Arabidopsis thaliana: one gene and its partner. The protein of the gene in region 1 purifies or fractionates together with the protein of each later gene. This does not show direct contact. Each region holds a gene or a part of one and is shown in the gene's direction. Other genes may lie near its edges. The genes, in order: AT1G26880 and AT3G60245.

Region 1 (3,936 bases):
TTGAGATCATCATCATCATCCTCCTCTACCTCACCTACGTCAACTTCCTCAACCACACCTTCCTCATCATCCTCTACCTCATCTACATCATCATCATCCTCTACCTCATTTTCCTCTACCACGTCTTCCTCATCCTCTACCCCATCCTTCCGCCGAGTAGTATTATAATGTAACTGTTTCAAGGTAGATACTTTCACGGTAAATTTTGTCAAGTTGTCATCCTTATGTCGATCCACCTTCAGGCAGTTGAGAACAGGGGAGCTTGATAAAAGGCTAACAAGAGATTCTTCGTCTTTGTACACCACAAAGCGAAGACTCAGAGTTAAGAGAGATGGTAGGCGAACAGGGGAAGAAACGTTCACTAGAATCTTGTTGGATAGACTTAAATCAACGAGCGTGTTGCATGTGTAAAGGCACTTAGGAAATCCTGTGGGTTCTGCGGTCCAGAGGAGATTGAAATCTAACTCTTTCACACCTCTATTAACTACGTTCTCAACCCACTTTCCGACATCTACGTCAACAGGACAATGTGGACCGAGTTCCACAACCAAACTATCTAGTTTCGGTGCCTTATGGAGTTGCAATGACTTTTCAATAAACCACCCCACGCTCTCGCTGTCATCTTCTTTGAATTCGAGTCTAGGCACCATCGGCCAGACATAACGCCATCGTTTAGACAAGATTGAAGTGGCGACTGCCTCTTTTGTTGGGACGTGATGCAAGATCTGCAAGAGCAAATCGTTAGGAAAAGCACAGATTCTAGTTTCGTTTATCTGACAACTTTCGGTTTCTGGAACAGTTGATATATGCTCATCGTCGTGTATAATATCCCAAAAAAAAGACCAACAACTTAAGCAACCCATAGATGTGGCCATGTGGGATACCGGATACCTAGCTAGACGCCAATGGAACTTTTTTCTCGTCGCTGGCTGTGACACAAAAGTGAGTCTATATTATAAAGCTTTTTTTCAAAAAAAAACAATTATTATACAAATATTTATTATTTGTTCAAAGAAAAAAAAAAAAAAATATATATATATATATATATATATATTATTAATGCATATAAAAAAAGAAACTAAATTAAAGTTGCCCAATTTTTAAAGTAAAACTGCAATATAGACACACATAAAATATATCAATCGATTCTCATTCTTACATAATTGTTAGTTTTTTCCCTTAAAAATCTAATCATCAAACCAAACAAAATTGTTGAAAATCCAAATTTTCTAGCCTGGTCCTTATATTTCCATTTGTTATTTTGGATGAATTTATTTTCCAATTCCCAATTTTGCCGCCAACCTTGATTAATTTCTCTACTTGGCTTGCTCTAATTGCTTGCACCACGCCCTTGTAAATGTATCGATTATGTTTTTACGTGCCATGAATTTAAATTTTTTGTTGTTACACTATTTGATAAAATAAATTGAATGTGTTTTGACTAAACGGATTATAATACTAATTAATCTTTTTAAAGTTCTACGTATAATTTAATGCATCTATGATTTCTTAAAAAATCAAAATAAAAATTGGTAATAATGTTTCTAGTTTCTGTTCACTACAACATACAAACGATACTTATTCTAATTGCAGCTAATAATAGAATTGGTTTTTACAAGTTGAATTTTTTTTAATTATTTGTACATGGGCCTTTAACTGGAGCATAATTAAAGACCAAAATGAGAAAAGGCCCATATAGTTGTAGTCTTAGTTTAGGTTTGGAGTCTCACCCTTATATTCTTCGTTCCAAACGAAAACCCTAAAAGAGAAAAGGAGGCGAAAATGGTGCAGCGTCTTGTTTACCGGTCGCGACACAGCTACGCCACCAAATCGAACCAGCACCGTATCGTCAAGACTCCAGGTCCCTTTCTTCTTCTTCTTCTTCTTCCTTGATATCTTCAATCTCCTCTGCTTTAGTCTCATAATTCTCTAATCACCGATCTGTTCTTCATAGTGTAATGTGTGTTGGGATTGTTGATTTCAGGAGGTAAATTGGTGTATCAAACCACAAAGAAGAGAGCTAGTGGCCCCAAATGTCCTGTTACTGGCAAGCGTATTCAAGGAGTAAGTCTTCTGATTTCGATTTGGCTTCGTGTGATTTGGTTTACATGGTTCTTGTATCTAGAGTCTTGATTTGAGGTCTAGATAGAGTTAAGAGTTTGAATTTTTTAGGAATTTGATGGCTATGTATAACCAAATCAATCAGATTGAGTGTTTTAGAATGTTTTGAGTATTGATCAGTCTCATTTTTAATGGGCATGTCTTCTTATTTCAAGAAACCATGTTACTTAGTTAATAGTATTGTGCTTATTGACGGTCTTGTGCTGATTAGATAAATCCCACATCAGTACATAACATAAATCATAAGCTAAATTGTCGGTGCCACTTTGTCTTTCAAGTTGTTCCTTGTATTACATAAGGATTTGCTATCCACCTTTGGCATAAATTTTCAGTTTATTCCCAACTATATATGTTTGATTATGCAATGGCATATTCCTTTTGCATTATGTGAATAACTTTGTTTGTTTATTCAGATCCCTCACTTGAGGCCCTCTGAGTACAAGAGGTCAAGATTATCAAGAAACAGGAGGACTGTAAACCGAGCATACGGTGGAGTCTTGTCTGGTTCTGCAGTCAGGGAAAGGTTTGTTGTCCATCTTACTTGAGTCATCTTTCTATTACAATAAATTTGGTGTTCTTTAACGTAATGTTGTTTTTGGATTCCGACAGGATCATTCGGGCATTCCTTGTCGAAGAGCAAAAGATTGTGAAGAAAGTGTTGAAACTCCAAAAGGCTAAGGAGAAAGTAGCCCCCAAGGCTTAAGCTTTTATGTTTTATTCTTCTCTGTTTTGGAATTATGGCTATGTTCAAGTGATAGGACTTGGTGCAGTCATGTGAGGACATCTATGTTACTCGACCAATTTTTAAGCTTTGTATTCTGTTATCAGTTCTTAACTTTGTCGACAATTCTCTTCTCTTCAGTTTTGGAATTGTTGAATTCATCTTTAATGTTCTATTGTTGATGCATATCACATAAGCTGTTGTGATTACCTTCTTGGTTAATATAATATTTCTGAATCTCTCGGAGGCTAAATCAAGCTTGCACTTTAATGTTCTCAGCGTCATGACACAACTATGGAATAGCAATTTTGAGTCTTAAATCTTAACTATGCTTCAATTTTTGGGAATTCTACAACGACAGTCTCGTATGCGATTAATGAAGTCAGCTCCAGAAATAATATACTTACTGGTCTTTATTTTGAATATAGTAAAACTCGATTCAGTTTTTCTCTTGTTCATCTTGACTTACCTCATGCCTTCTTCATTAAAGCAAAGTTGCTTGTGAAAAATAAAAACTCAAGGAAGCATAATTAATAAACGATTTAATTTAGTGAAAGAGAAAGCCTACAAAGAGGAAATACCCTAGCTTGAAAAAAGCAAGCCAAGAAGGCAGAGATGGGAAAATCTATCCACATACATCAGGTTGTACTGGAGAAACAAGCTGGCAAATCGCTATTGATGGACGATAAAGAAGAATAATAACTCTCCAGCAATGTCATGTTCTGTTTCAGGTCTTGATGATGACGATGGTTCTCATTAATTGTTGAAGTGAAATCATCAAACCGAAGTGTGTCGCAATGATCACCAAGATGATCTTCATTGGAACCACGCATGTTCTTCATTATACCATTTCCTTCGAATCCCGTCTCTTGATACTCCTGTGGTAGGCTTACAAGCGGGGGACATTGCTCTTGGGCCAACACTGCGCTGAGGTCGATATGGCTCGTGAATTCTCCCAAGAAGGTCGAATCTGAAGACGTGTTTAGCAGAAACGATGGGATTTCATTTGACGAGGGGAGCCTGGGAAACTGAGGTTGTGTTTCTTGTGTGGCAAGAAAGAGATTTGTGAGGTATTGTTGGTCTAAACATGAAAC
Region 2 (3,791 bases), on another chromosome or scaffold:
CTTATCAGTCTGATGCTACTCAGGCCGGTGGTGGAGATTCTAGGCGACCGGCCGGTGGTTTGAATGGTTTTGGCTCACATAGACCTGCAAGTCCTGTTACTCACGGACGGTCAAGTCCTCAAGAGCGGGGAACAGCTTATGTTCATAGGGAATTTGCAAGTCTGTCGCGTGCTTCTGATCTGTCACCAGAAGTTTCGTCCGCTAGGCAAGTACTACAAGGGCCATCAGCTACAGTAAACAGTCCTCGAGAAAATGCTTTGTCTGAAGAACAGTTAGAGAATCTGTCATTGTCCGCAATTAAGGAATATTACAGGTACTATATCTCTCCTTTCTTGCTGGTCATTTGTTTCATTCTTCGCAAAGTCATCAGATACTGCCACATTTAGGAAATTATTCTGTGGGAACCTGTGTAGGTATAATTGGATCAAATTACAGTTCATTCGTTTACAGTTAGAGCGTTTGTTTACAACGACAGATCATCTGATAAAGTGTATATTTCTTGAAGTATGTAAATTAGAATTTGCTCCAAACAAAACGGCTTAAAAATACATATGAGAGACTTTGTTCTTTGACTTTAATAGAATCTCTAATACAGGGGTAAACTCTGTTTTTTTTACTGACTGTGCGTTTTATGTATGATGTTAGTTTCTATTCGTTTACCCTCTTTATTATTGATAAGCACTCTGGTGCGTTCCAATGTGTTCTTGTGCAGTGCCCGAGATGAGAATGAGATTGGTATGTGCATGAAAGATATGAATTCACCAGCTTACCACCCAACAATGATTTCTCTCTGGGTAACTGATTCGTTTGAGAGAAAAGACAAAGAAAGGGATCTCTTAGCAAAGCTCCTTGTGAACCTCGTGAAATCTGCTGACAACGCCTTAAACGAAGTCCAGCTAGTGAAAGGGTAAGTAAACAAAGCCCATAAATCTTGAAGCCCTAGTCTAATCAAACGTCTGTTGCTTAAATCTTTTACTGCTTTTTTTTTCACAGGTTTGAATCGGTTTTGAAAACCCTGGAGGATGCAGTAAATGATGCTCCAAAAGCAGCAGAGTTTCTTGGTAGAATATTTGGGAAAAGTGTGACAGAGAAAGTAGTGACATTGACAGAGATTGGTCGGTTAATCCAGGAAGGAGGAGAAGAACCAGGAAGTCTGATAGAGTTTGGATTAGGCGGCGATGTTCTTGGGAGTGTTTTGGAGATGATAAAAACAGAAGCTGGAGAAGAAACGTTGGTTGAGATTCGCCGGAGCTCAGGTCTGAGGATTGAAAATTTCAAACCTCATGCACCTAACCGGTCTAAGATATTAGAGAAATTTACTTAGGAAAAAAAAATGGAACCATCTTTTGGGTTCCTTTCTTCTTCTCTTTTTTTGTTTCTCTCTTAAAAGTCTTTTCTCTTTTCAAGTGCTTCAAACAAAACTAATTTGTTATAAAGGGAGTTTCTCTATTTTATTATATAGCAAAAAACTTCCAAAATTTCTCATTTCTGTGTTTAACCTTTTCGTACATCAGTTTTAAAGCACAGAGAGCTCAATGTTCTTCCAATATCGTTATTAATAAATTTTGATTAAATTCAATCAAATCGGAGTTATATTACCACATGAGGTTAAAGGGCCATATTAAAAAGTCTGCACTTCATATGAGCAACAAGGCTTTTATGTCTTTATGGTTGATTTGATGGCCCATATATGATAGTTCAAAGGCCCATATTAAAAAATGCCCTAACATGATTCGATTCGTATATAAAGACGCTTAATGTGACAAGCGAACTTGCTCATTAGGGTTTCTCATCTACGACGGCGTGGTGTTCCTCCTTCCTGCTCTGAAAAATGGTGAAAAACCTAATCCTTTCTTTTTGTTATTGTTCTTGAATCTCTGTAATTCCATAGCAAGTTATTCGAGTATACTTCCTTCTGTCTCGTTCTAGCTTTCGTTTTGAGATTTCAAGTTTCATAGTTGATCTGTGGATTCTGATAGAAGTCTAGTTTTGTGATTTTGTCTTTTGACTCTATTACTCTTTTTCGATGTTTCACAGGCGAAGAGAACGAAGAAGGTTGGAATCGTCGGCAAATACGGTAATGTTCCTGACTCATCTCTTATTGAATCGCTTAGGATGTTAATGCTATCGAAAATAAGGATAGGATCTGCAAATTTGCTTAGTCTTGTAGCTCATTTTAATGGAGTATATTAACATGTATCGTTCATTTTTGATTACATGTTGTCAATATGTAATGGATCTGTCTACACTGGTTTCATATTGCAATTCGTTCTTCATTTTGGGGTCTAAGTTGGTTATTATATGTATTGTGAGTTCTCTTCCTAACGTATGTATGGTTATGTGATTCAGGAACACGTTATGGTGCGAGTATCAGGAAGCAGATTAAGAAGATGGAGGTCAGCCAGCACAGCAAGTACTTCTGTGAGTTCTGTGGCAAGGTATGAAAGAGATTAACATTCAGTTACTGTTTTCATTTCTAAATCTCTTTTGGTTTTGGATTATTGTGGTAACTGTGGTTTGATCAAAATGATTGCAGTACGGAGTGAAGCGAAAGGCTGTTGGTATCTGGGGTTGCAAGGATTGTGGCAAGGTCAAGGCAGGTGGTGCTTACACAATGAAGTAAGTGATTTCTGAGTTATATTTGTATTAGCTTTGTGTTGGTTATCAATCAATGATTTGTTTTCTGATGAAATTGTTTTCGTTTGTGAATTGCAGCACCGCCAGTGCGGTCACTGTTAGAAGCACGATCAGAAGGTTGAGGGAGCAGATCGAGGGTTAAAAGTCTGCTGGCTTTTTATATTTGGTTTCCTTGTTTTGACAATTTAAGTTTTGCAAACTCTATGCTTGTGATTTTGAATCAAGACTTATACATTGAGCAGTTTAAGCAGGTTTTTATTTTTTGTTGAGTTAATTTTCAAAGTTTCATTACCAATAGTTCTAGCTATATAACCTAAAGTTAGGCTTGAGGTTTTGAATGTTTGATCCTATTCAACACCTAATTATAAATCCTTGAATCCTGATCTAATGTGATGTTTCTTATACTTTATTTTGATCAGCACTTCTTTAACCCTATAACTTGGTAACAGTATTCGCACGAGTCTTTACAGATCAAAATTTTTAGAGTTTGATGTGTGTTTTCAAAGTGCTTTACTAGAAATCCTTACGATAATACAATCTATAACTGAGTGTACTAAGTTTAATTACACAAAAGTCGGTGAATAAACAAATACTAACGTTACTGGTTTTTATGTCTGGCAATGATCTCTTATAAAATCTATATATTGACTTGTTTATATGCTTTTGTGTCGTAATCATCCTAAGATATTGGTCCCTTGAGTGTATTTTAATGGCCATACATGTCTCATTATGATCTTTGATGAAATTGATTGATCTAAGTTATACTTCAGTTGAAATTTATGAGTTTTACATGAAATTAGAAAAACGAATAATAATCCAACAGTTCAAAACAAAATCCAACTAACTGGGGAAAATCTTTTCGGAGACAACAACAAGACCCAAGTGTGTCGTTCTTTTCCCCCAATGAGCCAGGCTGTTGCACTTCTAAGTTTTCTTGGAACTTCATGAGATTCTTTCAAGATTCCATCTTTCAACTTCAGCTCTCATCCTCTAACCCAATGGTTGATGTATGCTCCAGTCACCGCAGCTATCGTTTCAGTTGCTCATCCGGATGCAATTACAGAGCCACTAAATGTATCACCATTGAGAATGCAGAGCACTAGTATCATGGTTTGTGTACCTTGAAGCCAAAGATTTTTGGGACATAGCTTTGA

Evidence for each region.
Region 2: the proteins of AT1G26880 (region 1) and AT3G60245 fractionate together in Arabidopsis thaliana (co-fractionation; one large-scale study listed by BioGRID). This does not show direct contact.

What each region holds. Positions count from the first base shown.
Region 1 is NC_003070.9:9,314,528-9,318,463, reverse strand, and holds AT1G26880 (Ribosomal protein L34e superfamily protein), read left to right. Parts: upstream 1-1,583; 5' UTR 1,584-1,782; coding exon 1,783-1,861; intron 1,862-1,984; coding exon 1,985-2,064; intron 2,065-2,302; exon of another isoform or gene 2,303-2,449; intron 2,450-2,534; coding exon 2,535-2,644; coding exon of another isoform or gene 2,645-2,666; exon of another isoform or gene 2,667-2,730; coding exon 2,731-2,824; 3' UTR 2,825-3,159; downstream 3,160-3,936. Other genes in the region: AT1G26890 (FBD, F-box and Leucine Rich Repeat domains containing protein), read right to left, coding at 1-20, 87-875; FEZ (NAC (No Apical Meristem) domain transcriptional regulator superfamily protein), read right to left, coding at 3,481-3,936.
Region 2 is NC_003074.8:22,266,972-22,270,762, forward strand, and holds AT3G60245 (Zinc-binding ribosomal protein family protein), read left to right. Parts: upstream 1-1,716; 5' UTR 1,717-1,831; coding exon 1,832-1,834; intron 1,835-2,037; coding exon 2,038-2,077; intron 2,078-2,349; coding exon 2,350-2,438; intron 2,439-2,536; coding exon 2,537-2,619; intron 2,620-2,715; coding exon 2,716-2,779; 3' UTR 2,780-3,057; downstream 3,058-3,791. Other genes in the region: EIF4G (eukaryotic translation initiation factor 4G), read left to right, coding at 1-313, 713-907, 994-1,324; CKB3 (casein kinase II beta chain 3), read right to left, coding at 3,743-3,791.